Linked DNA regions of Caenorhabditis elegans. The protein of the gene in region 4 interacts with the protein of the main gene of each other region in a pairwise test. Each region holds a gene or a part of one and is shown on either strand. Other genes may lie near its edges. The genes, in order: C53D5.5, far-7, rpl-23A.1 and Y39B6A.34.

Evidence for each region.
Region 1: the proteins of Y39B6A.34 (region 4) and C53D5.5 interact in a two-hybrid assay, tested with the Caenorhabditis elegans proteins (one large-scale study listed by BioGRID).
Region 2: the proteins of Y39B6A.34 (region 4) and far-7 interact in a two-hybrid assay, tested with the Caenorhabditis elegans proteins (one large-scale study listed by BioGRID).
Region 3: the proteins of Y39B6A.34 (region 4) and rpl-23A.1 interact in a two-hybrid assay, tested with the Caenorhabditis elegans proteins (one large-scale study listed by BioGRID).

Annotation. Positions count from the first base shown.
Region 1 is NC_003279.8:303,923-315,131, forward strand, and holds C53D5.5 (Gamma-glutamyltranspeptidase 1), read right to left. Parts: upstream 6,869-11,209; 5' UTR 6,866-6,868; coding exon 6,840-6,865; intron 5,840-6,839; coding exon 5,620-5,839; intron 5,513-5,619; coding exon 5,283-5,512; intron 4,870-5,282; coding exon 4,649-4,869; intron 3,893-4,648; coding exon 3,169-3,892; intron 2,687-3,168; coding exon 2,368-2,686; intron 2,167-2,367; coding exon 1,978-2,166; 3' UTR 1,889-1,977; downstream 1-1,888. Other genes in the region: C53D5.1 (FAM69 protein-kinase domain-containing protein), read left to right, coding at 171-333, 1,006-1,158; imb-3 (Importin N-terminal domain-containing protein), read right to left, coding at 7,479-7,654, 7,712-7,862, 7,914-8,956, 9,004-9,920, 9,966-10,180, 10,232-10,852, 10,901-11,056.
Region 2 is NC_003280.10:316,815-324,194, forward strand, and holds far-7 (Fatty Acid/Retinol binding protein), read left to right. Parts: upstream 1-2,974; 5' UTR 2,975-3,007; coding exon 3,008-3,041; intron 3,042-3,637; coding exon 3,638-3,708; intron 3,709-3,768; coding exon 3,769-3,927; exon of another isoform or gene 3,928-4,061; coding exon 4,062-4,214; 3' UTR 4,215-4,296; downstream 4,297-7,380. Other genes in the region: K01A2.9 (MiRP K channel accessory Subunit), read right to left, coding at 44-93; K01A2.12 (MiRP K channel accessory Subunit), read right to left, coding at 834-923, 967-1,048, 1,443-1,554, 1,606-1,724, 1,802-1,851; K01A2.10 (CCDC92/74 N-terminal domain-containing protein), read right to left, coding at 4,734-5,048, 5,544-5,858, 6,138-6,281.
Region 3 is NC_003284.9:4,711,928-4,718,730, reverse strand, and holds rpl-23A.1 (Large ribosomal subunit protein uL23A), read right to left. Parts: upstream 3,554-6,803; 5' UTR 3,548-3,553; coding exon 3,399-3,547; intron 3,331-3,398; coding exon 3,138-3,330; intron 3,081-3,137; coding exon 2,979-3,080; 3' UTR 2,931-2,978; downstream 1-2,930. Other genes in the region: F55D10.4 (G_PROTEIN_RECEP_F1_2 domain-containing protein), read left to right, coding at 260-411, 1,468-1,675, 1,720-1,839, 1,889-2,022, 2,070-2,142; Neuroligin-like protein glit-1, read right to left, coding at 3,875-5,524, 5,578-5,745, 5,800-6,030, 6,292-6,435. UniProt on the Caenorhabditis elegans protein: This protein binds to a specific region on the 26S rRNA.
Region 4 is NC_003283.11:18,997,306-19,004,376, reverse strand, and holds Y39B6A.34 (COA8 family protein Y39B6A.34, mitochondrial), read right to left. Parts: upstream 3,360-7,071; 5' UTR 3,358-3,359; coding exon 3,260-3,357; intron 3,038-3,259; coding exon 2,792-3,037; intron 2,674-2,791; coding exon 2,589-2,673; 3' UTR 2,521-2,588; downstream 1-2,520. Other genes in the region: nol-53 (Ribosome biogenesis protein NOP53), read right to left, coding at 1-141, 1,497-2,083, 2,322-2,421; tgt-2 (Queuine tRNA-ribosyltransferase accessory subunit 2), read right to left, coding at 3,551-3,949, 4,547-4,735, 5,498-6,031; gtf-2F2 (General transcription factor IIF subunit 2), read right to left, coding at 6,268-6,424. UniProt on the Caenorhabditis elegans protein: May be required for cytochrome c complex (COX) assembly and function, COX being the terminal component of the mitochondrial respiratory chain.

The DNA.
Region 1 (11,209 bases), on a different chromosome or scaffold from region 4:
TTTTTTTATTTGATTTTTTTTTCCGAAAAAATCTACATTTTCAATTATTCGAAACGTAATTCGAATAAAAGTTATTAATGATTTTTTAAACAAAAAAATTGATGATAATCCAACCGGAAACTCAAATTTTGAAAACCCCTAAAAATCCAAATTTCTCAATTTTTCTGCAGATTCGCTCTAATGGACGGTGACATGGTGTACACGAAATCGAAATTGGATTCTCTCCTAAAAGGACGTCCGTGTGAAAGTGATAATGATTGTAAAATTGGAGACTGTGAGGCGAGATGCACTTCTAATATGGTGTGCTCGTCGAGGAGTAACGGGAATTTGGAGGTAAGCTTGAAAGTTGAAAAAGTTTGGAAAAATTGTGAAAAATCAATAAAATCGGCAAAAAACGAGCTTTTTTCCAGATGGCCGAATTTTTCATAGTTTGCAAAAGTTCGTCCACCTGTGAAAAATTGCTAAAAAAGCAACAGCATTGATGAATATTCATAAAAAACCAATAAATTCGACAAAAACCTTTTTGATTTTTCCAAAAATCGAAAATCACATTCTGATGTTCAAATTGAATTTTCAAAAAAAATATAGAAATTTCCTAAAAGTTTTAATTCTCAAAAAACGAACGACTGACAAAAAATTTTTAAAAAAGTGAATTTTCCGAATTTTTTCTAAAGAAAAACTGAAAATTTGAGAATTTTCAGTCAGAAATGTGATTTTTTTTTTGATTGAAAGGAGTTTATTTTGTAGAATTTAACTTCCACTATCAGAAAAAAATTTACCTATTTACTTTGTAATAGGAAAAAAGTTGTGAAATTGTTAGGAAAATTTTTTTCAACTTTACAATTTCCCGGACAGGCCTGTAGTTCCTTTTTTTCAAAACGTAAAAGAAAAAATTAATTAAAAAGTTCAAACTCCTAGAATTTATACATTTATTTTGCATTCTAAAAAACAAAGTTTTTCTTGATTTTTTTGTGTAAAAATTGAAAAAAAATCCAAATTTTGTAGGTCTTCTGCGATAAACTGGTCAACAAACTGTTCGCAAATCAATGGTCCAAAAATAATAAATATTTGGTCGCATGCCGGGATACAGGACGAAATATCACAACTCGACTCAACGAATTACGGTTAACATGGTCATGGAATCTGCCGGATGTTTAAAGGAATCTAGCTCAATTCTTTCTTTTTTTTTCTTCTACTCCATGTGTCAAAAAATCCCCGTGTCTTATAATTTTCTGGTGCTTTTTTCCATATTTTCCTTTTTTTGTGTTCTGGCTCATTTTTCCATGGCTCACAGAGCCCGAAAGCTTAGGATTTTGAAATTTTATTCGTTTTTTTCTCATAATTCTGTCATCATTTTTTGCTCTGCATCATCATCATCATCGTCAACATCATCGCGTTTTATTATGGGTTCATGTATTATTACACTTTCCTCGAAAAAAAATTTTGACGAACGTGTAATATGTTTCACCTTGTCTCATTTGTACCTCGTTCATTGTTACGGGTTTGAAGTTTTAAAACTCTGAATTTATATGAAGAATTTTAATTTAAAAAAAAACTTTGTTTCCTTTTTTGAATTTTTACAGACAAATTTTTGGCTTGAAAACTGAAAAACCCTGACTAAACTTACTATTTATGTGTTGGGTATCAACGTGTATTGACCCACGACGTGGCTAAGAAGATCGTACAACGTGAACTCTATGAACTAACTTATTTATTCCTTAGTTTAGTAATGTAATAAACTACTCGTCTTCTCCTCCTCGTCTCGCCTTCGAATACACAACATTATGAAAAGAGTTTTTCTTAAGATAAAAAATGTTCTAAAAAATCGATGGCCGAGTTTCCTATTTACGCGGCCACAAGACCAGTAAAAAAGTGTTAACACAAGTGCGAAAACTAGAACATTTATTTTCAAATTTCACCCGATTTCTACAAAAAATCAACAAAAAAGTCACAAAATTTAAAATATGAACATAATAATCAATATCCCGCTGGCGCTGACTCCTCCCCTTTTCGGAAATCACTGTTCGCATAGATTTGGCCGTCGGAAAGTCGTTCGGCGGCGGTGACAACTGTCAAATTGTTCACTGCCTTCATTACGTGACCACGATCGATCAGGGATTTCACGTAGGCTTTCGGGAAGTTTGGCTCGTACCACGTGTAATTTGGCTAAAAAATAAGGAAATTGGGAAAGGTTTTGATTTTATTGATTGAAAAATATTTCATGTGAAAGTCGAAAATTGATTGAAAATTAAATTCAGAAGTTTTTTTTCTGAAAATTATTGATTTTTATTTTTAAAAAATCAACTTTTTGACAATTATCGATTTTTCCAACAAAAAAAAAATCAAATTTCGCGTGTAATTCTCTACCTGTAACTGATTGTGCATCCTTGGAGCATCAACAGCTTGTTTAACATCTGCTTTCAGCCATAACGCATGCAGTGCAACTCCAGCAACACCCGAAATAATGGTGGATCCACCGGCTCCGCCGACCGCCATAAGCTCCGCCCCTTTTGTGTTAAAGATCACTAATGGACTTTGACTACTCATGGGGCGTTTTCCAGGGCGAATGAAATTGGCGGGAGACGGTGGGAAACCGAAGAAATTCGGATGACCGGGAGTGGAAAAGTCGTCCATTTCGTTATTCCAGAGAATTCCCGTCGATTCGGAGGATACTAGGGCACCCAGGCTGGAAGAATTTGAGATGGTGGAAGAGTTTTTTTGGCGGTGGCCTAGAAAATGTCTTCATATCCGAAAAAGTCAAAGTGATGGCCTAGAAATTTAAGTTTGTGGCCTATAAACTTGAACTGATGGCCTAAAAATTGAACGTCGTCCTAAAAATGTTTTTAACTGATGGCCTAGAATTGAAAGGTGATGGCCTCCAAATTTCAGGTGGGCGTATATAAACTTTGGTTGATGGTCTAGAAATTATACACGTGGCCCAGATTATGAAATCACTTCGGTATAAAATCCAGGTGGTAAACAATTTACTATTAAGACTGCCTAAAATCATCCCCTGGCCTAATTAGTTTAAAATTTTTGGTGACGACCTCGAACTTGTTCATTTTTATCAACTGCAGTTGCTTGTCGACTGAGGACTAACTTCTCACTTGCTGGCCGAGTTTTCGAAGTTCGGCCACCAAAAATTTCCTTTAAAAAAGCCAAACTCACTATAAGTTAATGGTAGACGTAACCGAAACTGCATTGCCGTCTGCATCGATAATCGATACATGAGTTGTTCCATGATCCTGCGGTGGTGCTTCAAACGATCCTCCATAGTAATCATCAGGATGCGTCGTGTCTGTGATCTTCGACCTAACCCAATCCGCCCACTCTTTTGACGTAATATTTTTGGCGATTTCCGTGGCGTTTGCCACGAATTGCGGGTCGCCAAGCCAGCTTCTAGCCGCATAACTAAATTTGCTAGATTCCAGAAAATGATGGTATAACGTTGCGATTTCGTTGAACGACTTCATGTTATATTCGAAGCCATCCATCACGTTAAGTATTGCCTGAGCCACCGCTGAGCCCGAGGGAGGCGGCGGGCCGCAGACTCCGCGCCCGTTTTTCAGCTTTGTGTAGATCACATTTTTTGAGTCGTGGACTATTGATTTGTAATTTTTAAAGTCCTGAAGCCGGATGATCCCACCGTTGGCTTCGAACTCTTTGGCGAGTTGCTCGGCGAGCCGACCTGTATAAAAGTCGGCGATGGGATCTGTGGAGTTTGCGAGTAGCCGGAATGTTTCTAGAAGGTTTTGGCGGGTTTTTATCTGCTCTCCTGGTTGGAAGACACGCTGAGTTTCGGGGTTGATGAAGTTTTTCATGGTGGGCTCCGCGCGGATTTGGTGCTCGTTTTGGTTGAGAGCTTTTGCAAGGGCATGGGACGTTGGGTAGCCTGGAATTTTTTAGGATGGCCTAGAAACATGAACCGATAACATAGTTACTTATTTTGTGACCTCGAAATTTTCATGATGGCTTAGAAATTTTTATGATGGCCTAGAATTTTTATGGTGACCTAGAAATTTTTTGATGGTCTAGAAATTTTTAGTAATGTAATAAACTACTCGTCTTCTCCTCCTGAAAAAATTTGGGCCCGTCTCCCTTCGTGGTGAGACCCATCGTGGCGAGACCCATCGTGGCGAGACCCATCGTGACGAGACCCATCGTGACGAGGCCTATCGTGGTGAGACCCATCGTGGCGAGACCCTCCGTTGAGAGACCCATCGTGATGAGACCCATCGTGGTGAGACACGCCGTGGTGAGACTTATTGTGATACCCATCTTAACGTACACAGTAATTGGAGAAACTTTTAAACTGATTTTTACAAAAAGTTCAACATTTAACTTACCAAGAGCTCAATATTCCGTTGCCTCGCTTTTTGTTGCCCTCAGGGATTATTGTTCTGTTGCCTCCATTTCCGTTACCCCTGTTGTGTTGCCTTCGAGCAGCGTTGAATCCGTTGCCCCCCCCCTTTTTCGTTGTCCCCGGGGAATATTAAATCCGTTGCCCCCGTTATCCGTTACCCCTAGGGATTGTTGGCCGGTCTAAAAACGGCCACCAGAAAAGTTTTTGAGCATCAAAAATGTTCTACGCCGTTAGGAGTTTTTTAGGCCAACAGAAATATTCTAGGCTCGCAGAAAAAGTGCCCACCTTCAGCCAACAAATCAATAGTTGGTTTCAACAACTGTCTCCACTCGACTTTTCCACTTCCGAATCTCTCGAATTCAGTCCGGAGGCCGTGAAGCTCTCCGGGCACCGCAATCGCCTTCCATCCGATTCTCGACTGATTCCATTTGTCACGGTACATTTCCTCTGTTGCGGCGAGCGGAGCAATCTCCCGAGCATCGATTACCGTACACTCTTTTGTCGTTCTGGAAGAATTTTAGAGGTTTCTAAGTCATTGAAAATATTTTTAGGCCACGGCAGAAGTTTAAAGGCCACACGCGCTTCTGGCTTTCCTCATATTTTGAAATGGAAGAGTTTGCCGAGTTAGCCCGTTTGGACTAGGCCACGACCGGGGTAAATTTACGGAGCGTCGTGTAGACGATTGTCAATGGAGCGCGAGAAAAACGCTTTGACGAAGGCCAGAAACCAGTGAGGCCACAATGTGATGTTTGCAAAAATGTTTTTAATGGCCTAGGAAAATCATTCTTTCTTCCAAAATTTTTCTTCTTTGTTTTCCTTTTCGATTATTGATTTTTAGTTGAAAAATCAATATTAATAATTATCTTTTTTTTTAATTATTGATGTTCCGCTCCAATTCGTGGCGAGACCAACAACTCACGCATTATAAATAGTCATAAAATGTCCGCCGCCAATTCCGGCCGAATGTGTATCCATTACACCGATACAGAAAAGTGCGGCGATTGCCGAATCCACCGCATTTCCGCCTTTCAGCAAAATATTCCGACCGATTTCTGAGCAAATTTCGTTGTCGGCGGCGACGGCGGCTTTCGAATATTTTCCGAGTGGAGAAAGTGATGGTCCAGGCCAACGGGGTAGGCGGGCATTGTTCTGGAAACCTTGCCGAGTTTTATTTTTATCGGCCACGTAGCAAATCGGCCAGCCATGAACCGACTGCGGACTAGTTTTCACCCTCGTGGCCTAGCTTTCTAACAAACCTGCATTAGTAAATGAAAATACAATGAAGCGAATGCGACCGTTGAGATTAACAACGTGAATACGAGAACCGTTAAGCCGACCGCCGCGACTAAAGTACGGATTTTCATGGGTTGCTCGGCCTCGATAAGCGGCTCAACTTCATCAAATGGTCCATATTCTGGCGGTAAATTATCATCGTCCGGAAACGTGTTATAGTATTGAACAGGAGGTGGGTTACTGCTGAAAAGTCGAGTTTTGCGCGTCAAATTTGATGTATTGAGTGGCATGATCACTATTATTACAAGACCGCGAAATTTTGAGAATGCGTATTGCACAACATTTTTGACGCGCAGAATATCTCGTAGCGAAAACTACAGTAACTCTTTAAATCACTACGGTAAAGCTTGTGTCGATTTACGGGGTTTCGGTTTTTTCATTTTTTTTGTGTTTTTTAAAAAACAATTTATCGACTAATGAATGATTTCCGTAAATCGACACAAACACTACAGTAGTCATTTAAAGAATTATTGTAGTTTTTGCTACGAGATATTTTGCGCGTCGAATATGTTGCGCAATACGCATTCTCAGAATTTTGTGTTGCCGTAATAATTCTGATTTAAAAATGGAATTTTCAAAAATCAGAGGTTTCCCAAAAATTTGAATATTCCACAAAAAAGATGAATCTGAAGAGTATTTTCAATTTTTTGAGAAAATAATCGATTTTCTGGATTAAAAAATTTGAATTTATAGATTTCTAGATTCTAAAATTTGAATTTGTGCAATTTCAAACAAAAATGTATCGATTTTTATCGACTTTTCATAAAATTTAATTTAATTTTCGAAATTCCGAAAATATTGCCCGTTTTTCATATACCAAAAAAGTTGTATCAATTTTTTCAAAAAATTAAATTTTCATCGATAGTTGTTTTCAAAGCATCATGATTTTTTTGAAAGAATTTGCAAATGTGAGAACTACAGTACTCCCTTAAAGGCGCACGCTTGTTTTTATTTTTAAAAAATTGGTCGTTTCGAGACCTGGTACCGTATTTTCGCATTTGGGTAATATTTCCAGCATTATAAATTTAAAAACAATGCACTTTTTAAATCTTGAATCCATATATATATTTTTTTCAGAAACTCATGCCGCCTCGTTTGGGTCTCGATTCGAATTTTTTTCACAAACGTATAATATTTTCTCGAAAAACCCGCGAATTTTTAACATTATCGATTTTTCTCTCACCTCGTCGATTGCCCTTCAGGAGTCATTATTCAGAATTGAGTATGAATTAAAAAATCATAGAAAAAGTCAAAGCGCTGTCAATTGGAAATTTAGGACGAGAATGTCAAAATTGCAACTTTTCACGATAACGGAATTCTATCGCAAAACTAGATAAGAGCTACAGTTTGCTGCGTGTAAGCGCGCTCCAATGACAAACGAGAAGAGAAGAGAAGAGGGGGTAACCGCCAATAGCTCTCTTTATCGAGGATAGTCTTCAAGTGACAGAAGAGATATTCTGTGGTGGGAGAGAGTTGGGTGGAAGGGGGAACAATGAGGACTACGGAAGAATGACTTTTAGATTTGGAGTATAGGAGAAAGTGGAGGTTTTGGCTGAAATTATTTTCAAAAACTTTAACTGTAACAACTAACGAGTAGATTTGAAAATGAGGATAATATTCAACACAACAGAAAAAAAGTCGATAGGTAACTAATAAAAATTAGAGAAAATGTGGCATCGGGGAGAAGTGGTGGAACAAAAGAAGAAACTGATGATGATGATAGGAGGATAGCCGCGAAACAAGCGATTAACAGTGAACAAGATTCATTTCGGTGAAGATGGAGAAGATAACAGCAAAAAAAAAAACACAACAAAAGTCCTTATTATTGCCCATTGAGAGTTTGTTGAAGGACACTGGTAAGGTGCTCGTCGATTCCATCTTGCTGCGCGAATTGTGGGAACGATGCGTAGATTTGCTTCAGGATTGTGACAATTCTTTGCTTGGTTTGGTTGCCGCTATCGTCGTCGTTGAAAGCATCGTTGGCGATTGAGAGCAAGCCTGAAAAATACAAATAAAAATAAAATAAGTTACGGATTTTTTTAGATTAGAACTTACAAACAAGGAAGATTCTCGGAAGATTCTGATTTTCTGGTCCAAAAAGTGCGGCGTCTTGTTTATCAAACAATTCGGCGAGACACGTGTAAATGTAGGGGCTTTCCTCGGTGTCTGAATATGTTGGCAACCAGCTCAGGAACATCTCGACGACCTGGAAATAATATGGAACTTTTTTCTTGAAAAACTGAATTCTAAAACCAACCTTTCCGTAGGCTTCAGCAGGAAGTGGCACATTGCCGATGATTTTGGCAAATGCAGAAATCGCGTTTTCCGTGGCAACAGTGCTCTCCTCGGTGGCTCGGGCGTCCTCTCGTTGAATCATGGCGGCCAGTGGCTCCAAACAGCTCAAAATCTCGTTTCGGTAGTCGCTGATCTGGTGGTAGTTGATGGCCATAACTCCGAAACCGTAGCTCGCTGCTTGTCTCACTTCAGGATACTCATCTCCCAACAACTTGTACATTATTGGAATAAGCTTCGGGAAGCGAGTTGGCATATGTCCGACACCGAACTCGATGGCGTCATCGAGAAGGCACATTCCCCATTGTCTCTCGAAGTATTGTTTGGATCCCTCGATGAGTTGAATGGCACAGTTGAACACGTTGATCATTCCCTCGAAGATAGTTCCCTTGAACTCCTTCATAAGAGAGTGAGTCAAATCAGAGATGGCTCCAAGGCATGAGGCCTCCAATTCCATGAAATAATCGAGCTCCTCCTTAGCTTCAGCATCATCGTCATCTTCATCTTCAACTGGACGATCGCTCATTCTCTTTCCGTAGTTTTCAAGTTGCTTGAGAAGCACCGAAATGATGAGTTGAACCTCTTCCTCGGCGATTCCCTCGGTTTTCATAACCTCAATGCACGATCCGATGGTCGTCATGAACGAGGCGAGAATCTCGACATCGTCCTCCTCCTCCATAGAGGTCGTCAATGCCTTCAAGAACTCGCACCACAAACGACGCTTGTCAGCCAATCCTTGCTTCTCAACACAGGTCAACAAGCATGGCATGATTTCAGCGGAAGCCGTACGAACTCCGTCGTGAAGTCCGAAATCGAGATTCTTGATGGCGAGCTCGTAGACGTCGACGACGTATGGCATGAAAGCCTCCTTCATCTCCTTGGCGAACGCGACAAGCATATCGCAAGCAGTTGCCTTCTCCTCAAGACCGCTGGTGCGGATTCCGACAGTCTTTTCTCCTCCGATTCCGTGGTATTCAACTCCTTCCTCGTTTTCGTGAACATCTTCGTCTGAAATTTATATATTTTTTTAACACGTAAAACTAAAAAACACTCACTGTTGAAGATATTGAAGTCTGGGCGGTAACGAGCGGCACGAAGAACTGGATCCATGACAACTGGGAGGAATGGTGCGAAATCGGCTCCAAGAATAGAGCAGAAACGAGTCCATGAGCTGATCATGTAGCTGTATTGTGGATCATCGATAGCCAAATCCTTCATTCCGTCTCCGAGAAGGTTCAGGATCTCGATTGCAGTAGCGTGGAATTGTTCCTTTCCGACAGCATATCCGATGAGAGAGATGCATTCGATGGTCTTTCCTCTCAACTCCTTGAGCTCTCCGACGTTTTGAAGAATGTGAACGAGGTTCGGGATGAGGCGAGCATGATGTTCCTTGAAGAGCTCCTCGGCGGCTTCAGCGACGGAGGCGATGGCGGTGACGATGTTCTCAACGACAACCTGGTATCTCTTGTCTCCGAGACGATTGAACACAGCGGAAAGCACATTTTCGAGTTTCTGAAGAATGAATGGAAGATATTGTCCAATGATGCTCTTTGGGCACTCCTCGGCAAAGTTGACAAGAGCCGAAGCGGCATGAGCACAGACACGTGGAACATCGGTTCTGTCAAGAGACTCGAGAAGAGCTGGTATGACGGCGGCGTGGCACTTCTTCTGAAGAGTTGGAGCGAAGTCAGAAGACATTTGTCCGATGGCGTTGCAAGCCGCGTATTGAACTCTTGGATGAGCATCATTGACGTAATTGGTGATATGAGCCATAATTTGCTCTATGTGTGGTTCCATAGATCTTTGGCACCCTTCACCGACGGCGGAGAACGCGCGAAGAGCCGCGTGCTTCATCTTCCAGTCTTCGCTGGTCAAAAGCTTCTCGACAAGTGGAAGGAACACTGGGAGCATCACTTTTCCGTTGATGCAGCAAGCAACACGGTCGATGGCGCTTTCGGCGATGATTGGGATACTGAAAAATAATTTAATTGAAGAAAAACTAAAAATTTATCCTTACTCTTCATAGTCTTCTTCCTCTTCGATCTCGTTGAGCCACTCATTGAGCACATCGTCATCCATTTCGGTCATGCATGAAAGAAGAGTCTCGAGAATTGGTCCAAGAGCTCCTGGTGCGTATTTCTTGAGTCCTTTTGGTGCGGATTCCATGTACGAGCAAATAACTTCGATGGCGTTCTGACGGACCATCTCGTTCTTTTCCTTGTTTCCAGCAATCTGAAATTTGAAAAAATGAAATTTTTAAATTGGGCCATTTAAATTACTTACAGCAAGAGTGACTTGAAGAACCTGAGACATATGAGTGTTAAGGCATTTTGGCAGAGAAGAGGCGAGCTCGGCGAACTCTCCGAGTGGTCCATCTGAATCATCCTCGTCGCTGGTTTCATTGCAAACTTGAAGAACATTTGGAACAAGAGAGGTCATAAGCCTGACAACATCCTTCTCCTCATCATTATCAACAGCGAAAGCGATAACAGCACGGACGGCGGTGGCCTTGATTTGCAAATCCGGTGTAGCCATGCACTTTTCCAAGACAACTTTGAGGGTTGGAAGGAAGTGGGCCAGCCTGTTTCCAAAAATTATTGGGCATCCGCGAAGAATAAGCAGGGCTATGTAGTTTCCGGTAAGATCCTCGCTCTTCAAACAATGATCCATCAGCTCGAGGACTCCTCCCCATGTCATATCTCCAGAATCGTCGATGAGGTTTGAAGCGATTTCAGAGATCAAATCAGCAATCTTCTTCTTAATCGAGAGTTCGGTCTCGTGAACTATCATCTCGAGAACTTTGGCGAGAATGCGCTGTTTGTTCTCCTCGTTCAGCGTTTCCCAAATCGCATCCCAGTCTCTGGCGAGAACTCGTCGCAGAAACACCAAAACTGTGGATCTGGCCTGAAAATCGAAAATTCATGGAATATATAGGAATTTGAGTGAACTAACATCAGAATTATTCGTGTGGTGTGTGTAGGCCTCGAAAAGTGCAGCTACTTTGGTTGGTCCTTCAATCTTTTCATAGACTTCTTCAGCTTGTTTTCGGATATCATTGTCTGCTGACTGCAGTTTTGTGATGAGCTCAGTGAATTGATTGACGTCCATTGTAGGGAACCCTGAAAATCAGAATATGTGCTAAAAATTTCAAAATTGAGAAGGAAAAAGATGAAAGCGAGTCGGTTTTGCAGATAAACGCCTGGGGAATACGCGGAATCGCTGAGGAAAATAGATTTTTAGTATAAAAATTGGCATTTTCAA
Region 2 (7,380 bases), on a different chromosome or scaffold from region 4:
ATGTTTATTAAATTTTTTTTTCTGAAATTACAAAATCACTTACAGAGGATCCAATACTGGAAATTTTTCCACAGAATCTGGATTTTCAAGCATTTTTTCTCAAATTTCGAATTTTTTGGGAAAACAATGAGTTCAACTATCAGACATTTTATCAAAGGAAGAGTAAATAAATAAATAACACCCGTTCCAGGAGGTGTTCACCAGCTGATTACCGACTGATAAGGAAAATTGTGTGTTTTTGAAATTGAAATTTTATGAGCTATAATTTCAAAAATTTTTTAAATTTTTAAAACGGGTTTGTGCCAGCCACGTTGTTGGTATTTTTTCCAGAATTCTAATTTGTAGAATTGCAAAAAAAGTTACCAAAAATTATGGAAATAAGTCGAAAATTACCAAAATTAAAACAAACCAATTCTGGCGAGGTGACCAATAACCGACGAGTAATGGACATGGCCAATGTCGCTGATTGGTCAGAGGATTTTTTTCAAAATTTCGATCAGTTTTTGTTAACCTAGCTAATGCTCTCGATAATTTGAGTTTTCTGACCAAAAGTTTTGTCCCAACTGTCCCAGATGCGCCAATTTGAGATTCAATACTCAATTCCCAATTTCAATTCTACGTTTCAGGTACCAAATCTGGCGTCCTCAATTGCGGCCTCTATATCAGTTGCAACTCATATGATTCTTCATACTTTTGCACTTTTTTGGAAGTCACCATTAATAAAATAATTTCAATTGATGAGAAAAATAATAATGTTCAAAGATTTTTTAGTATTGAAATCAAATATTGCCAATGTCATAACAACATAACATTTGAATAAATTTTATAAAAAATTATACTTTCCAAAAAACCGACATGGAGTGCAGAACTAAATGAATGCCAACAGAGACGGTAGTTGCACAGGATGAGTAGAGGATTGGGATCTGAAAAATTTTCTGACGAATTTAATTATATAGGTTGACAAACCTGGTAAGTTTTCCAATGAGATATCACAATTTGCGTGAAGAGCTGATAGGCGGTGGATAAGGCGATATGTACCAGTGGCCAACTGGAAAATGGTGAAAAGTTTTATTTGGGGTAGCACCAGTGAGGATTTTGTCTAAATGCACTTATGATGAGCCAAAATAACCGAATATCATAATAAAACACTTCTAAAATTTTCAAAACGTTTTTTTGGAAAGGTTTTTTTTTTGAAATTCGGTCATTTTGGCACCATTGAAGTAGTTTTAACACTGTCCCCACCGGCGTTACTCCACTTTTAAAATTTAAAAACCAAAAATTCAGCCAAAACAATTGTCTTAATTTTAAAAAGTTTGTACCGAAAATATCAAAATTGATATTAAAATTTTGTACCCCCGCAAGAATGTTTTGGAAAAATTAGAATTTGAGCTGGTTTGAGCAGCATTAAATTTAAAATCTCAATTTTTAAGACATAAACTTACATATGAAAGAATCGTCTTGCATGTGAGTCACTTTTCATTTCGTTGTTAAAAATAATGAAAAATAAGATCAAGATAATCAATAATCCGATTCCAATAATCACCAGACAGAAAACTGAAAATTAAGTTTCAAAAACCTTAACAACTTCAATTTTTGGATTCCTACTCTGAAAATGCGTGATAACTGGAATATCGACTTTACTCCATTGGACCAATAGGAAATAGAACATTGCCACGTGGATTAAAGATGAAAGAGAGTGCAGGGACAGGAGTACATTCTTTTTTCTGAAAAAAATTCTGAAAAACGTTTTCTCAAAAAATGTTTATTAAATTTTTTTTTCTGAAATTACAAAATCACTTACAGAGGATCCAATACTGGAAATTTTTCCACAGAATCTGGATTTTCAAGCATTTTTTCTCAAATTTCGAATTTTTTGGGAAAACAATGAGTTCAACTATCAGACATTTTATCAAAGGAAGAGTAAATAAATAAATAACACCCGTTCCAGGAGGTGTTCACCAGCTGATTACCGACTGATAAGGAAAATTGTGTGTTTTTGAAATTGAAATTTTATGAGCTATAATTTCAAAAATTTTTTAAATTTTTAAAACGGGTTTGTGCCAGCCACGTTGTTGGTATTTTTTCCAGAATTCTAATTTGTAGAATTGCAAAAAAAGTTACCAAAAATTATGGAAATAAGTCGAAAATTACCAAAATTAAAACAAACCAATTCTGGCGAGGTGACCAATAACCGACGAGTAATGGACATGGCCAATGTCGCTGATTGGTCAGAGGATTTTTTTCAAAATTTCGATCAGTTTTTGTTAACCTAGCTAATGCTCTCGATAATTTGAGTTTTCTGACCAAAAGTTTTGTCCCAACTGTCCCAGATGCGCCAATTTGTGCCCCCAAAAGAATTGACCAATCACCAACGCGTACTGGGCGTGGCCAACACTGCTGATTGGTCAAATTGATATTTTTTCCATATATCCTGCATACCTAGTCAATATGGGTGTCGTGTTTCAGCAATTTTTTTAGGAAGCCTAAATTTTTTTTATAGACTGTCCTGCGTCTGCGAACCCATCGGGGACACTGTCCCCTCGGGGGTTTTTCTCGAAAAATACTTCAAATTGTTAATTTTTGATGGTTTTCAAGTGTTTATACATCATCAAATCTTCACTCAACCATAGCAGAATCCAAATCGAATCACCAATTTCCAAAATCTGCCTTGTTTGTCATTTTTTTCGGTCAAATTTCGGTCACCGCACGTACCGCCCATATTTGTTCAATTTATTGGAAAGAAGGATTATATAAAAAGAACTGAAGAACAGTCGATTTCAGTAAAATCAACAGAAGAATAAAAAAATGTTTTTCGCTCGATTTACGTGCCCAGTAACCGGTTCTTTTTATGTTTGGTGTGGCCGTTTTGTCACATTTTCACGTTTTCCGTCCTATCACAGGACTCGCTTATCACTAAATGATCTTTTTGACCTTTTCTCTGATATATATTTATAACTGGAAAGAGTAAATAAAAAGTCGTAGAAATTTTCAGAAAGACTACTGAAAAATGAGCGTTGCTTCACTTCCAGAATGTGTCAAAAGTAAGTTAAATAGGTTATAAGGCATTAAAATTGTAAACTGAGCAATTCATTTTGCACGATTAGACAACTTTTTAGTAGGCAACTTCTTGATAGCATTCTCAGTTTAAAAATTGGTAACATTTTTTTCCTTCAAAATTTTTTAAACGTGGAGTAGCGCCAGTAAGGAAAATGTTGAAAACTACTCCTATGGTGCAAATCTTTGCCAAAAATTACCATAAAACTTTTCAAAAACTCTTTGAAAATTTTTTTTATTTACTGTCAATCAGTGATAGTTACTCAGTTTTTTCCACTAGTAATGTTGGAAGACGACCAAAAAAAAAAAGATTTTTCCTACATTTTTTATATTTTAGTTTTGTTTTAATTATTTGAATTGAAACATTGTAGGCGTCTGAACATGCGACAATGCTTTAGATTTCCTCAAAAGCTCATATTTTTCAAATTTTGGAAATTTGCCAAATAAATTTTTTGAAAAATAATTAAGTTAAACTCTAACTGATATTTACAGGAAAATTGCAATGATTTTACTATTTGATATTCAACAACTCATTTAATTTACAAAAAAACCATAATTTCAGTAATTCTTTGATAATTTTCAGACTTTTTCCCAACTGAACAACTCGAGTTCTCCTCATCAATTACCGCTGACGAGAAGCCAGTTCTTCATGAGGTGAACTACCACATTCATCACTTTTTTGGTAATAAAAGTTGAAGCAATACATAATTATAGGTATTCCAAAAGCATTCATGTTTCTCACAATGTGGTGAAATGATTGACGAGGTCTCGAAAAAGCATCCAGAATTGGGAAAACGGTTGGCAACTGTGTTGGAGGGGAACAAGAAACGTTTGGATGGTTTGAGCCCGGCTGCTGTTGAGTATGCCAAGAAGGTAAGGAGTTTGGCGGAAAATGCTGCTACAATGCGAATAAAACGTTTCTACAATTCAGAAATTTTGAAATTTGAGAAAAACCTCATTTTAGAAATCATTTTTAGTACTAGTAATAAATACTAAAAATCTTGCAGCTCATACACATGGTAACCACCACCTTGTGCTCCTTAACCGTCGGAAAACCAATTGATGATGCAGATGCAAAACGTCTTCACCAGGAATTCCAAAGCCTATCTTCAGAAGATCAGGCTGCGCTGAGAAAGAATAATCCGGATATTAAATTTTGATTTTTTTTCTGATGTTTCCTCCAGTAAGGTATTTTGATTAAAACTGCATAATGAGACATTAATAAAAAATATAATATTCTTATGCGCACTATACATTTGGATACATGCGACGTGAGTGATGCCGTGAGGCCGGCGCGGCCACCGTTGCGGCGACCTTATGGAAGCCCTATTTCGGGGTGCGGCCTGATTTTCTTAACAAACATTATGCCCATGATATAGGCGTGGTCGGAGCAGCCCCACCTATGTTTTTGAGCTGTGGCTGAGATGGTTGACTTGGCTAAATTTCTGGCAACAACTAGGCCCCGCCGACGTTTTGGGAAGGATTTTCTGTCCAAAACGCATCTCCTGCCTATTTTCATAACATGGAATTTTGATAACTTTCCTGAAACCGTAGTTTTTATAATTTTCAAATAAAAATTCAGAATATCTTCATTTGACTGAGGTATATATGTACAATAAAAAAGTCATCGGTTTCAAAAACCCATTGAATTTAAGCTTCCGCACCTGCCTCCTGAAAGCTTAATTAGGCATAGTCGGTGCACGCATCGCTGAAGTTGATCTTTTCTGAATACTAATTCTAGAATTTCCAGGATACGTTACAGCAACAGAAGCTGATAATAGTCCACTTGACACTGGTGGAAAGATCCGATGAGGTGAGGATGGTGACGTCATCGGTGGTGATGACGTGGTGGAGAGTTGAGATGAGGCTCTACGACGATGCTGGGATGTTGCCATTGCTTCGCGGAGTTTGATGGCACGGAGTTGTTGGGAAAGATGGGTTACGGTTTGGTTACGGTCAGAGAGTTCTTCGTTTAGCTGGCGGATTCGGTCACTCTGAAAATTGTTTCGATTAAAAAAAATTGCTGCAAAAATGTTTTGGAGTTTCAGAATTTTTGAAAGTTTTTAAATTTCTCGGCAATTAAAGAAATGAATTTCCAAGAAGTTGATATTACATGGTTATGAAAGTTTTGTTCATTATTTTTATAAGTTTACAAGCTCAAAGCCACAATTTAAACTAATATTTCCACAAGGAAAATAATGTGACTTTACAAATTTCGAATCTTGTAAAGTTTTTATTTGAAAATTCTATAGTTTTTTGAAAATTTGGTATTTAAAATTGAAATTTGTGTAAAGAATTGTTCCGGAAATCTGGAAATTTTGAATATTAAAAAAAAGTGCTGGTCTGAGAAAGAAAAATTCCAAAAAAATCTAAAATTTTTGCCAAATTTCAGAAATTAAAAACATATTGTCTTCAATGTCAATTTAAATAGTAAAAAATATGTGTTTTAGACTCCGCCCACAAAAAGAGCGTGGCTAAAAAAAACTTACCTGAATAGTAATTTGTTCCTGAAGTTTTTGAATAGTCGTTGAAACTTTTTTTTCTAAATTCTTGGTATAAGCTTCCTTTTCCGTAATTACTTTTTCCAGTTCAGCAATTTTATCCGCTGAATCATCATCCCCGTGCAAAGTTTTTCGTTTTTCTTCCCGTAACTCATTTCCGAGGCGATTAATTTCATTATGAAGTGATTTCAGCATATTTGAAGTTTCATTTTGTAAAAATTGGATTTGTGATTTTTCATGTTTCCTCCATTCTGCATCGCGTTCTTTCAAGGCTTTGTCGATGCGGATTTCAAGTTCTTCAAACTGAAATTAAATTTTGTTTTGAAAATTAACTTTTTAACATATGGCTCAACTTTGTACTTTTAATATTTGTATATTTCAAAACACGAATTTGACCCCAAAACACTTTGAAAAATTACAGTTTGACCTACCCACTAATTTTTTGCGCGGAAGTTTTTAGAAAAATTGAAAAGTGCATTTTGCTTGAAATGTTTTTTTTTCGACATTTTGAATTTCGGATCAAGAAAAAATATGTTAAAAATATTCTGGAAAGTATGCCGATATGAAAATTAAATGTCTTACATCAGAAGAACCCTTTGCCCTTCCAGTCGTGGGAGGAATCGATTCAGAGCTCGACGATGAAAATGAGCATCTATTTGGGTGTTGGGGTCCGTGAAAGGATGCTGTCTGGGACGGAGGGCGACTCACAATCACTGCAGTTGACATTCTGGAATAATTGGAAATTTTTGTGGAGTATGGAAATGAAATCGAATATGAAAAAAAATCAAAGCGAAAAAAAACTCAATTTGAAAATTTGGAAACATGAAAACATTTTGCAAATTGCAGTAAGTTTAGTAAATGTTTAAAAATTGAAAAAAAAACTAGTAGTTAGAAAAAGACGTCTAGAGAAAGTTGTTCAAATTTTAATGAAAAATGAGATCGAATTCTCGAAGCTCTTACTCCAACTGAACTCCCAACAATTCTGACCTCAGCTACCTAGACCACCGCCTCAAAACTGTCCTAAAAGTTCAAAACCAAAAAACCCATTGAGTCAGCTGACTTCATCTTAGTACATCCCCCATCTTTCAAACACACACACAAAATCGAACAACTTCTCCTTGAAAAGAGAGGGAAAAAGTGGAAAAAGATGAGAGGTAGAGATACCAAAGACCTCCTGATGCAGAAGAGTAGACATAGAGAAAACGAGGCAAGGATTCAGCTGCAGAGAGGGAGGGAGGCCGAAAATAGAGAAGTAGGGAAAATGGTGGTGGTCGATTTCTATGGAACCCGCGCACGCACGGACACGTTAGGGAACATGAGCTCTTCTCAATGAGCACATTATGAAATCAGAACGAAAATGGGGTCTATGGGGGTAATTTGGTATTCAGGAAAGGTTAATACTGCACATATATTTTCATAGTGGTCAAAGGTTGTACATCAGGGGTGCGCGGCAATTTTGACAATTACCGGTTTTGGAAATTTTCGGCAATCGGCAATTTCCGGTTTTCAAAATTTCGGGCAATTCCGGCAATTGCGGTTTTTTGGAATTTTCGGCAATTGCCGCGCACCCCTGAATAAGAGCCCTAGAACCTTAACTTCTTTGTCTTGCTGAATTCAAACTCAACCAGTAAAAAACTAAGTTAAGGGCTCACGTTAAAACCTCTTATGTAATTTCAATTTTTGCATAAAAATTCTGCAAAAACGCTTTTCAGAAAACTTCTAAAGGCGTTAAAATATTTGGCCCGTTCAAACAACTCTTGTTGGTTTTTTGGTGCTGCCCAAAGCTAGAAAAGTAAGGGAATTCTGGGACAATATGAGAATAGGA
Region 3 (6,803 bases), on a different chromosome or scaffold from region 4:
TCCATTCAAAAAGTTTTGTTCTGGATGGCAAACAGTAGGGTATGACAGTTCAGGAATATGTACAGTTAGTTATAATTAAGCTCAAAAAATTTGGGAAACATTTTTCTTTCAATGTTTGATCTTGATGGAAATTTTAAATTAACAAGATACCTCCAAAATATAATTATGAATATTTATATATGGAACATTGCAGTCTTCTATCCAGCTAATCGAAAATTCATCTTCAAATTCCAAAATTTCAACGTTCTGTCATTTCCAGCTAGTCGACATGAAGTCTCGTTCGTTCGCTGAATTGGAAAAATTTCCGGCTTTGACGACTGCTATTTTGTTGAACTCGACTATTAGCTTGCTGACCTTGCTGACAATTGGATTTGTGCACGCGCTCGCGCGACACAACTATCATCTATCGAGGTTAGTTTATTGCTTTCGGGGAAGCTTAGGGTTTTTGCCCCTGAGAGCAAATCAGGTGCACTCCTCACTTTTCCTGAAAAATTTCCTTAAATTAAAATATGAAAAAGGGCAAATGCACCGAATGTCACATCACATACATGTTTCCCATGTATGCGTCACATAAAAGAGTCTCTCGAGATTTTCATTAGTGCCCGTCGTCGTCCACGCTAAAAAGTTTTCCAAAAAGAAACATGAAACTTTCCTTGTTTGTTACATAAAAGATTCCTTCCCTTCTCTTGTTGTTTAGTCAAGGGGTCAACTAATTACTATTCTTTAGCACAGTTATATAGTATTTTTTTTGTTACATTTTGAAAATTATATGCATTGATAAATACTACGCTCAAAAAATAAAATTTTCTTATCAAAAGTAGGGAAGGTGACTCAAAATAAATTGGGCATATGCAAATCTTTGTCACATTTCATTAATCAGATACACCAAAACTTGACCAAAAAAACTTGGTTTGGAATAACCAGAACAATAATTTTTTAATATGGCAGACTTCAGTGTCATTTTATTATTCAAATACTTTTTTGTGCAAATTTAAAAAATAACGCAAAGTAAGTAGACTTAAATTCACTATTTAGATGCTGGAAGTTTTTGGCAATTGGCATTTTCAGAAGTCGGCTATCGACATTCTTTCAATTAAAGTATAGTAACTTTTGAAATTACGACAAAATGCCGGTTACCGCAGAGCCTTGTTAACTGAAAAAAAAACAGTTCATTGAAAAAATAGACGAGCTCGCTTAAGTGTAACATTTTTCAACTAATAAATACTTAAATACCATTTTTATGAGAGAAATTGAAAGTATTCGAAAAACTCGAAAATAAGTATAAAACATAAATAAAGACATTGTTTCTCAGTCTTAGAAATATTTAATTTGTGATTATTTTTTAAAATAATTCCTCAAAACCAAGAAATGTTTCAAAATTTTGAAACTAAAATTAGTACTTTGAATTAACTGAATTTCACTGTTATTATACATTTCTAATTTATTATCCCATCGACACATTTCCAGGTCTCAATTATCTCGATTAATCGGCTCAACATGGCTTCTCGTAACGTTACTGCTTCTATCCGACTTTTTCCTAATCCGCCTCTCGAGATCTTTTGTGTTAGCAGTGCCTTTTCATCTTGCTCTTCTATCCGTATTCCTTGTGCTCAATTTGATTATTCATCCGCTCAATCTCATCCAGCTAATCATATCACAACGTCTTAATCCAGAGGTAAGGGATCGAAAAATTGCATTTGAGTATTGAAATTTTTGTAGGAAAATAGTCAAACAGTACGGTTAAAGAAGGACTGCGCAACAGCGTCACTATGGTTGCTGTTGAATAGTTTATCATTTATTATAATTTTTATGATGGTTGCCTGGGAGTCCAAGGAAAAGGTAAATAATCATGTTATTGTTAGATTACAAAATTGGAACACAACTTCAGGACCAGTATAACTCAATTATGGGGATTGAAGTTGCGGCATTCTCTGTTCATTGTGTCGCAAATCCATTGATAGCTGTGATCCGAGATAGACAGTTAGAACGAAGTCTTTCCAGAATAATAATGCGAAATAAAAGGTAAAAATACCTGTGAATATTTCAGATGTTTATTATTTATTTTTCAGACCACGAACAAATCACGAAGAAGATCTAATTATTGCACTGATGCGTGATCCCCCACCGCCATACACCGAGTAACTGTCCTGAGAACAGTAATTTAATTTCATCTTCCGGTTAGAATTGTGAAAACTTGTAGTAATATTGCAGAAAATTGTTTTCATGCAAACTCCTTTCATCCATTATCTTTTTCAATCACTTCTGGTTAATAACTTTTGATCTCAAACACGTTTTTGCCAGATATCATGTTTTTTTTCGAAATTTTTCGCATTACTCTTGATCTCTCAATATTTATTTTAATGTATGAATGAATAACCAGTTGCAGTGTTTTTTTGTAATAAATTGTATTTTTCATTTAATTTCATAGTATTTGTCATTAAAAAAAATTGCTTACAATGTTCAAAAAAATAAAAAAAATGAACAATTTATCGTTGTAAGAGTTTTGCACTCATGTTCTTTAGGATATTCTTTGAAATATGGCAACAGCTCAAAATTGTACAAGAACAACAACAAATCTAGAGTTGTGAAATGAAAAATCTGAAGTTATCATGGCACAATATTGCTTATTAGTTAGTGCAACATTTTCAAAACGGTCTCATCGCGTGAAACACTCAAAAAAAAGAGTACGAAGTAGAATGGGTGAGAAAAAAAAAACGAAATTTGGTACTTGTGTATTACATGCCCTCATTTTAAAAGTAGTTTTTTAAGTCAATAATTTTTTAGAATCAAAAAACATATTGTTGTATTTTTAGGCTCAACAAACAACCATTTCTAGCGCTTTAATTTTAAATCAGGGTGATTTTCATGAAATGTATGATAACTACTGCTCTTACAATTAGTATTTCTTTCCCTACCAAATCAGCAAACATTTTTAATAACAAATTGTTTATTGAACAAACAAGGAACAAGAAAACAATTTAGATAACTCCAATCTTGTTGGCAACGTCGAGAGCATCGTAGTCAGCGGTGAGGCGGACGTAAGCCTTCTTCTGTTGAAGTGGAGTGATGAGGGTGTTGACCTAAAAACAAGCATTTTGATTTCTTTTTGCCTGGAAATTAAGATGCTTCCAACAAACCTTGAGGGCTTGGACGTTGTAGAGCTTGTGGACGGCGTCCTTGATTTGGTACTTGTTGGCGTCGTTGCTGACGATGAAGACAAGGGTGTTGTGCTCCTCGATCTTCTTCATGGCGGACTCAGTGGTCAATGGGTGTTGGATGATGCGGAAGTGGTCCATCTTGGAGGTCTTTGGGGCAGACTTGCGTGGGAAACTGAAAATCGATAATTAAAATCATTCAACTTTTTAAATAGTTCTTTTAATTGGACTGAAATAACTTACCGAGCCTGACGGGCGGTCTTGAGGGTGACCGGGCGACGGAAGTGCACGGAGGTGCGGACTTGACGTCTGTGGGTGGTGCGTTTTCCCTTGACGACCTTCTTCTTGGCGTCGAGAGCCTTGGCAGTCTTAGCTGGAGCGCTTGGAGCCATTTTACCCTGAACAATTGATTAGAGTGAAAATGACTGGAAAATTGAGTTAAAAAAGATAAACAGCGGCTCAAAAAACCAGTTAAATGAACAATTAAAAAAATCATTAGACAATACATGTTTTCTTTTTGAAAATGCAATAACAATTATGATAATAATAAGGCATCAGTAAGATAAGGCTCCGAAAAAATAGAGATCACAATTGGATGGTTTAAAACTCGTACTAAACATAAAAAGTAAGTGAAATGAGATTCTGATCACAGAAGTTAGTAATTATTATGTTAGTACTCTAAAAAATTTAAATTATACATTATTTACAAACTTTGAAAGTTAAAGATTGGTTATTCTAGATCTTGGTGATCGAGTCCGTGAAGAAATAGTAGCATCCGACACTGAGTGACCAGTGTCCCGGTATTCGACGAGTTGGTGGTTTTCTGCTTTATAAGCCGCCTCCTCGTCCTCCTTGTTTCCCCAAACCATATATCCAAACGCGCCAGCAAGTACTATCAGTAGAGCGATGATGATGACGTTGACTCCAGTGATCCATTTGAAAACCATGATTTCTCGTCGGTACGCAACATTTTCAGGGGAAAACGTCGTTGTCATGTAGTTCACCAATGCAGGGATGTACTCATTCCAGAATGCAACATCTTGATAGCGATAGTCTCTTGCAAGAGTTCCAGGAATCTTCCAGTCTTCTTCATGTGTGTAGTTAAAGTTAATGTACCAATGACGCCTTGGTTCGTATGCTGCCCAGCTGCCATCAAATTGAAAATTTGGGTTCTGATGATAACTGAATCGACGTATGATGTTGGAAAACGTCCTGCTCGCGTTTCTATCTGTATCCGTAAAATTTATGCCTCGCAGACCAATCGGTCTCAGCTCGTCCGGTAAAAACGGATAGCCAAACATCAGATACAAGTCACAATCCCGACAAACTCCCATCCAGTCAGGAATAAATAGCAGGTTTGGATGCTGGCGACTGAAGTTGTAATTATTTACATATTGAAAAACTCGTGATCCCGAAGAACTGTGGAGATGCGAGGAGAGTTGCATCGGAGCAGTGTAGTAAGCATCGGTAGCAAATTGGATAAAGTTTTCCTTGATTGCCCAAGCAGCTGCTCTATCAGGCCAGAAAGTGTATTTGGAGAGGATCGCGTCGGCGGTAGCTTCCCGATTCATTGAGTAGTTATGACGGTAGCAATATTCCAGCGAGTAACTTTTCAAATACTCGTGGTCGACATCGTTGAACTGACTAAACTCTCCGAGTCTTCTGTCTTCCAGCACGACTTCACTGCCATCTTGAGCATTCATTCCAATAAGCATTGGTACTGGACTCATGATTGAAGTCTCCCCACTCGGCGCGTTGACGAGAGTCCATAGCGGGTTTCCAGGGAGATATTTTCCATCCACCGTTGGCATGAACAAGTATCTGTTGTACTCGATAGGAATGTTCCTTGTTGCATCAATGATGTCTCCGGTTGATCTTGTCAGAATACAATCCCAACGATGTTGTGCAACAGCTTGTGTACATCCTGCGTAGCGTCCCAGCTTCATTGTGTTGTTGAAAGCCAGTGCAGTTTTTCCAATGTAAGAGTGATATGAAACTTCCGCTCCGGACATTGTGGCCGCCGATCTGAAGAGGTGCCTGGAATACGGTGACTGCATGTGAAATCCGATCGAAGCTGCTCCTGCATCGTGCCCGACAACTGTGACAGCTTGTGGATCTCCGCCAAACGTTACAATGTTGTTTTTCACAAACTCCAAGGCTAGTCTCTGATCCTGTAGTCCATAGTTGCCGGTTTCAGAATCTCCCATACTCATGAAGCCGAAAGCACCAAGACGATAGTTGACAGTTACTACAACCATTCCTCGAGAAGCAAGTCCATGCGCTGGCCACTCATTTGCAGACCCAGTTTGGAAATTCCCGCCGTGGAAGAACACAATTACCGGATAAGTGGTTTGTGCATTTTTGGAAATCTGGAAAATTAAATAATTATTTTTCATAAGAAAAATTCAATAAAACTTCTTACGTCAGGAGAGAAAATGTTCAAGTAAAGACAATCTTCATCGACCATGAATGGATAAGGATGATCTACAAATGGACTGGGCGACTTTTCAACATCTTGAGCACATGAAGCCGCGTAATTGAATGCCAAATACGGTTGTTTCCCTGGAAAGACGGTAAGCTGCTGTGGTGGCTGTAAAAATGTAAAATGAGTTATTCAATTTATGATATGTCGGAATAAGTGTACCTTAAATCTTCTCTGAGACGTCGGTGGTTCTGCATAGGGCACTCCTAGAAATGTGAAGACTGTGATATTGTTTTTGGGCTTCAGTGGATTCGGATCAAAGTGTGTTCCGTCCTTGGGAAGCTCTTCGGTTGGATCTTTGTGAATTGTCCAGGGCAGGTTGTGGAGATGAACCTCTTTGCCAACAATGTCTCCCAGAGGCAGTCGAACAACCACTTCATCTCGGTTTAACCCCTGCAATGTACACAAATGTTAGGTGAGGTGACGACGCAAATCGATATGCATTTAGGCAAATAGAGCGAAACATCTTTTGCAGAGTTCAGAGAAAGAATAATAAATTGGCTCAATTTTTTAGCGAAAATAATCAATTCAGTTTCTTTAAAATAATCTTACATCATTATTTTATAACATTCTATTTTCTATCATTTTGATAATAACTACTAGAAAAGTTTAAATTTCTAGGTAAACATAGTTTAAAAAATTCAAAATACTTACTTGGTTTACTCCGCCATGGGGAAATGGTGTTGTCGTTGTTTTAAACGGATCCCATAGATCTACTGGACGCGTTGGTGGTGGAACAAATTGTGAAATGACCAGCGGTAATGTGAATAAGCTATTGAAAATTGTGCCGGTGAACATTCCATGTGACGCGATCTCTGAAAAATTTAATTTTAAAAAAGAAAAATAAAATATCTCTTCGAAAAATTTCATTGAAAATTGAAAATTGATAAAAGCCACGCAAAAAAAAGCGAAAAATTTTTAGGCAACGAGTGATCATCAGGTTGATGACCTACGGTAACACACATTTCGAGCTGTGTCAATATGGGAAACAACGCGCTGCGGGACCGCATGCGAGGCCGGCGGAGCGCATTTACGACCCTCTTCCTCTCCCCCACTATGTGTCACCACTGCCGTATGGGAATGGTTGCGTCTATTTACACTCTCATTTTTCGCCGTTGTCTCTCCCAATTTTCGCGCTCTCCGTCAAGGCTCATAAGTGTTTTACA
Region 4 (7,071 bases):
CTTTGGCTCCGCTTCTCCACCAGTTTTCATCGATTTTTCAGAATTTCCAGCTTCTTCTTCTTCTTCATCGTCTTTTCCGTATTTCGGATGAATTCTGAGTCCTTCAGCCATTTCCAAGAAGCGCTCGTGCTCTGTGGTCACCTGGAAATTTCAAATTGATAGCAAATTTTGGGATTTTTTTTTAGCAAATTCCAGGCTTTTTCAGCTTAAAAATTAGCTAAAAATTGGCTTTTTTGACTGCGAAAAAAACCCTCGAAAATGACGTTTTTAAAACAATTTTCCCATTTTTCCCACTGAAATTGGCCATTTTTTGTAGTTTTTGTAGTCTAAGCAGCTCCAAAAATATAAAATTCAGGCTTTTCCACCCGTTTTTGTGCAATTTTTACGGGAAAAGTTGTGAAAACCTTTGAAAAATGTTACTTTTACGCCACTTTTTAAATCAAGATTAAAATCAAGATTTTCACCGATTTTTTCACTAAAAAAGCTGGAGAAAAGTCAATTTTTAGTTCAAAATCAAGAAAAATGAGCAAAAAACCATGATTTTGTAGTCTTTGTAGTTAGCAGCGGCCAAAAATTGTAGTTTTTGTAGTCTAAGCAGCGCCAAAATCTAAATTTTAACGACTTTTAGGTCATTTTCTTCGATTGTTCATCATTTTTCTTCAATTTTTCGTTTTTGTAGTCAAAGCAACGCCAAAATGTTAAAAATCAGGCTTTTACACCTATTTTTGTGCAATTTTTTCGGGAAAAGTTGTGAAAAACGCCACTTTTAGGGAATTTTTTAAGAGAAAATCTAGATTTTCACTGATTTTTCACCAAAAAAAACCTGGAGTAAAGTCAATTTTTAGTTCAAAATCAAGAAAAATGAGTAAAAAACCATGATTTTGTAGTCTTTGTAGTCTAAGCAGCGCCCAAAATCTAAAATTTGTTGGTACTTGGACAAAATTTGACCAAAATCTCCTGTTTTTCACCTGAAAATTGCCGATTTTGGCTGAAAATCGTCCAAAAAAAATACAATTTTCATGTTTTTAGGCTCTAGATGAGCAAAAATTCAAGTTTCTCTCGATTTTTTTGGTTAAAATTTCGCTATTTTCCAAATTTTCTAGATGAAAATGCAATTTTCAGAGCAATAAAACTCGAATTTCAACAATTTTTGAGCCAAATTCGTCGACTTTTCATATTTTCTCTGGTTTTTCACCAATTTTCGCCAATTTTTTCTCTAATTTTCCTGTTTCTCATCTATTTTCTGCGATTTTCGCCAATTTTTTCAGCAAATCAGTTGGATTTCTCTCTATTTTCGCTAAATTTCCATTTAAATCGCTCCAAAAAATTTTGGTAGCAGCTGCTTTTTGTAGTTTTTGTAGTCTAAACAGCGCCAAAATCTAAATTTCAACAATTTTTAGGCCATTTTCTTCGATTTTTCGACCATTTTTCTCGGATTTTCTCCAATTTTTCTCAAATTTCCAGCCAATTTCTTCCTTCTCAACGCCTACACACACCTTCTCCCACTGTGGCTCAATTCCGGCTTTAATCTTCGCCTCGTGATCAATCAATTTCTGTTCTTCTCCGGCAATTTTCGCCACATATTCCTGATATTCTGCACTTTCTGGATTATAAGAAGCACCTCCTTCGGCAATTTGTACTGCTGGAAGCAGACTTGTAATCGATTTTCCTGGCGTTTTCGGCTGCTTTTTCTTCACAACTTTCAGAAAATGCTCTGCGGCTTCTTGATTCTCAAGCTTAGATTTCGGAATCTTCGGCGTCAAATCAGTCGTCCAAACGTCGAAATTCTTCTTTTTCGCCGCCGGCGCCGCTGCTTTTGGCCCCTTTTTCAGCGCCAAAATCGCGTTGCCACGTGGCAATTTGGCGGGTTTTTTCAGAATTTTCGATGTGGTGGATGGTTTTGGAAGTGTGACATGCTCCTGTGTGATGTTTTTGGTGATTTTTTCCAACGCGGCCTGCTGCTTTTTCGTCAGTTTCGGCACGACTGGCTTGTTGGCGGTGGCGGTACGATCGACAATGAACAGATCTTCGTCTTTCATCTCAGAAATGACACCTCCAGTTGCTGCCTGACGGGATTTGATGTCTGAAAATCGGAAAAATTAGTGAAATTTAGCCTAAAAACGTGAAAAAATTGAGAATTTTTGCCTAAAATTAGCTTAGCAGCGCCAAAATCATATTTTCGCTCAAAATTAACCAAAATCGCCGATTTTTGTCGCAATTTTGAAAGAATTACCATGTTTAATGGAAATTTTTGGTTTTTTCGTCAAAATACTGGAAATTTCGATGATTTTTCAGCGACAATCGCTCGAAAATAAACTTACGAATCGAATCCTCAATATCATCGATATTCGTTCCCTTTCTCCAATATTTCTTGTTGTGGCGTGAGCCCTTCGCGGCTCCAGTACGTTTTCCAGCGACCATCTGAATGCGGAAATTGGCAAAAAAGTGGAAAAAAGGTTGAAAAAGGTAAAATTAGGGTGGAAAACCCGTTGAAAATTCAAGAAATACGATAAAAAATCAAGAAAAAACCCATTTTTATCGGGGAAAAAGCAACGAAATCAACTAAAACTACCCAAAAAATCTACAAATTAACGCCTCGCCATTCGGAAAAATCGGACAACGTTGACTTTGAGTGCTGGCCAAATCAGTTGCAGGTTTCGGCGGTACCATTCTCTGAAAATATTGATTTTTTACATGAAAAATAGCAATTTTCATGGATTTTAATCGATTTTTCGCGAATTTTCATCAATTTTAATCAATTTTATCCGATTTCCACCGCATTTTCACCCACTTATTATAGGCCATCATCGCCACGTGTCGATCATTCAAAAAATCGCGATAAAACTCGCTGAGCTCGTTCGCCGACACGTGTTCCAGTCTTCCAAGCTCTTGCTGCTTTCGCTCGACAAAATCCGACTTTTGCCGGTCGAACAGTTGATTGTGTTCGGCCCAAAAATCCGAATTCCACTGATTCAGCTCTTCCCGAGCCAGCCGATACTGCCGCTCGAGTTCCGACTCATTATCGACGCGGCGGAGCCTGGAAAATCAATAATTATAATTTTTAAAACAGATTTTTGGCAAAAAATATGGGAAAATTTCGCTGAAAACCGACGAAAATTGATTAAAATCTAGTTTTCGTTAACAAATGGAAAAGTGCGCGGAGGTGTTGCGTCACCAAACTCCGCCCACTTTTCCGTGCGGCAGCGCTAAAAATTGCGAAAATTATTTATTTTCAGCGTATTTTTCAGGATTTTCTCACATAATTTTGCGAATTTTCGATAAATTATCCGGCGGTCCAACCCAATCGAATCGGCGATCCATTCGGACATTTGATGAGGAGGAGGAAATCGATGACATCTGGGAAATTAGGCTGAATTTTGGGGAAATAGGGAAAAAATTATAGGAAATATATAAAAAACCGGAGTTTTTACCGGGAAAATTGCAATAAAACGCTGAATAAAAGGTGTTTAATTAAATTAAGAAACCAACAAGTGAAAAAATAACAAGAATAGAGTATATAAAATCAACAAAAAAAATTTGAAAAAACCAATCACAATCCTTCAGAATTCTCCAACGAGCTCCGAATAAGCTTAAACATTTTATCATACTCTGTCATATTATGAATAACTAATAAAATCGAAGCCAGAAGCTCTCGGGTGTTCAGAAGGTGTTGTAGGTATCCTTTAGTGTATTTTGTGCACGTATAGCAGGCGCATCCGTCGAAAAGTGCGGTAAAATCGTCGGCGAACTTCTCATTATTGAAATCCACTACTTCATATTTCGAAGACGTCGGAAAATCGTCTGAAAGACAGAACGCGTGGCCTTCTTCGGCCAATTTAACTGGAAATGACGAGTCGAACAGATCGATTCCTTGTTGGACGAGGAAAAGCACGGTTTTTGGGTTGAAAGGTCCTGAGATACATCGGAGTTTTGTAGGTGGAAGTGGGCTCTGGAAAAAAATGCATGATTTTTTGGGGAAAAATCGACCATTTCCGCTAGAAATCCGGGATTTTCAGTTAAAAATCCGAGGAAATTGTGCTTTTTGTGTGGTTAGCAGCGCCAAAAATTCAGGTTTTTGGATTTTCAAGCAGAAATTCTATGGAAAATTCAAAAATTTGAAGAAATTAGTGATTTTCTGGTGGAAAATAATGAAAAATTGCCCAGAAATGTGTGATTTTCGGTGAACTTTCGCATATTTCGGCTTGAAAATCGGAAATTTCTATCGGAAATAAGTGATTTTTAGAAAAAATTAGGAAATTTTGGTCGAAAACGAAGTTTTATGTAGTTAGCAGCGCCCAAAACTTGTAGTTTGTAGTCTAAGCAGCGCCCAAAACTTGTAGTTTGTAGTCTAAGCAGCGCCCAAAATCACATTTTCGCTCAAAATTAACCAAAATTGCCGATTTTTTTCGCAATTTCGAGGGAATTCACGATTTTCAATGGAATTTTTATGAATTTTCAGCGGAAATTGCCTCAAAAATCGTTAAAAATGCTCTTTTCATCTATTTTTTTTTCGCAGAAAAGCCAAATTTTCAGTGAAAAAACGAACAAAAGTCTCCTCCAGGAGCTCTTTCATCTCCTTATCGTCAGTTTCCTTTCCCTCTGTGAATTCGCGAAATTCGACAGTGTATCCAGCAATATTTTCAGCCAATCCAACGTCAACTGCACATTTCCTCCGATGATACTTGCTGAAACCACCGCCCAGCGACACAATTCGTTCTCCATTCACTTTTTCGTCCTAGAAAATTTGCGAAAATTTGGTGTAAAAACTATGAAAATCGCAATAAATTTAGATTTTTACACAAAAAAGTTGTAGTTTTTGTAGTCTAAGCAGCGCCCAAACTGGTAAAATTCAGGCTTTTACACCGATTATTTTGCAATTTTTTCGGAGAAAAGTTGTGAAAACTTTCAAAAAAGCTGGAAAAAAGTCATTTTTCAGTTCAAAATCGAGAAAATTGTAGTTTGTAGCTTTAGCAGCGCCCAAAATTGAATTAGCAGCGCCCAAAAATTGTAGTTTGTAGTCTAAGCAGCGCCCAAAATTGAATTAGCAGCGCCCAAAATTGTGTAGTTTGTAGTCTTAGCAGCGCCCAAAATTGAATTAGCAGCGCCCAAAACTTGTAGTTTGTAGCTTTAGCAGCGCCCAAAATTGAATTAGCAGCGCCCAAAAATTGTAGTTTGTAGCTTTAGCAGCGCCCAAAATTGAATTAGCAGCGCCCAAAAAATTGTAGTTTGTAGTCTTAGCAGCGCCCAAAATTGAATTAACAGCGCCCAAAAATTGTAGTTTGTAGTCTAAGCAGCGCCCAAAATTGAATTAGCAGCGCCCAAAATTGTGTAGTTTGTAGTCTTAGCAGCGCCAAAATGAAAAAAATCCAGGTTTCAACCGATTTTCACCAAATTTTCACCAGTTTTTCACAAAAAAAGTCATTTTCATGCTAAAATGTAGCTTTTCATTCATTTTTTCCCCTGAAAAATTCAAATTTTTAATTGATTTTTTCGCTACCTGCTGAAACAGCTGCTCTTGGAAGGTTTTCGTCCTATCCACCGCCTTAACAAGCTTCTTCTGTCCAACATCTTTCGGTGTATCATAGTCGACAAGAGTCTCAATAGAGCCACAACCAAACGAGTTAATAATTTCCCGCCACATTTTAACATCCAACGAAACTTTTCCGTTTGCCGTCCAAATCGCGACGGATTTCGAGTCATTATACCCTCCGGGAAGCTTTCCAAGCGGGTCAAACGGTGTCAGGTGAACCGCCGCGCCTGCAGGCATCCCACAAAATTTCGCAGCGCCTTTTCCGAATTTCTCGATAATTTTCGCGTTTGACACCAGCGTTGGGAGCGTCATTTGAAAAATGTGGGTTTGTTCGAGTTTCAGCTGATTCTCAGCAACTTCCCATGTCAGGTGGGGAATATGTCCGGCTCGTAGGTAGGTTTGAAAGGATGGGGTCTGGTGGTTAACCTCCACGGAGCCCCATGTGTCGATTTTGCCCAAGCGGCCCAGAAGCGTCTTTTTTTCGATTTGAAATTTGACCATTCTGAAAAAAAAAGAAGTAAAAAATCAATTTTTTTTTCCTATTTTTCTCGAAAAAAAACGAAAAAAAATCTGATAATAAATAGAAAACTGGGCTAAATAACCCAAAATCAACGAAGAAATCCAAAAAAAAAAAAATTCAAAAATCCCCAATATTCACAAGTGTTCATCATGTTTTTAAAAAAGAAGAGATGTATAGTAAATAAATAATAATAATAATGTCCAAAAAAAAGTTGGAATTATTCCGATTGTGCGTTGACTTTGTAGTTACAGTATTCCGGTTTCAGGCACCACAGAGACTTGTGCGGTGGAGCAGTATTGTAGACGGCAATCTCTTGGAGCACTTCTTTGACGTAGCTGACCGGTTGTTGAAGGAGTTGCTGAAGATCTTGAAGTCTGAAATGCGAGAAATTGTAGTTTTTGTAGTCTAAGCAGCGGCCAGCCAAAAAATCCGAAATTTCATCGAAAATGCACAGAATTCTAAGAAGTTAGAAATTTTGGAGGAAACTAGTGTGTTTCTCGTTAAAAATTCCAAAAAATACACTAGAAATGTGTGATTTTTCATTATTTTCGCATATTTCGGCTTGAAAATCGGAAATTTCTAGCGAAAATGTGCGATTTTTGAAAAAACTTTGGAAATTTTGGCAAAAAAACGAGGTTTCATGTAGTTAGCAGCGCCCAAAAACTTGTAGTTTGTAGTCTAAGCAGCGCCCAAAACGTTGAAATGCAGTTTTTAATCGATTGATACCAAAATAACACCCAATTTTTACAGTTTTTTGTGTGTAGAATTTCCTAAAAAAACTCAACGAAAGGTGCAAAATACGTGGAATTTCGTCAATTTTTGCCTATTTTTTTCAGTTTTTCTTGGGAAAATCTGTAAAAATCCCTTTAAAAATGAGTAAAACGTAAAATTTTGACACTTTTTGAATGAAAATATAGATTTTCTTCCATTTTTAATTGAAAAATCGCCCAAAATTGCAAAAAATTCGGATCAGCAGCGCCCAAAACTTGTAGTTTGTAGTCTAAGCAGCGCCCAAAATGGA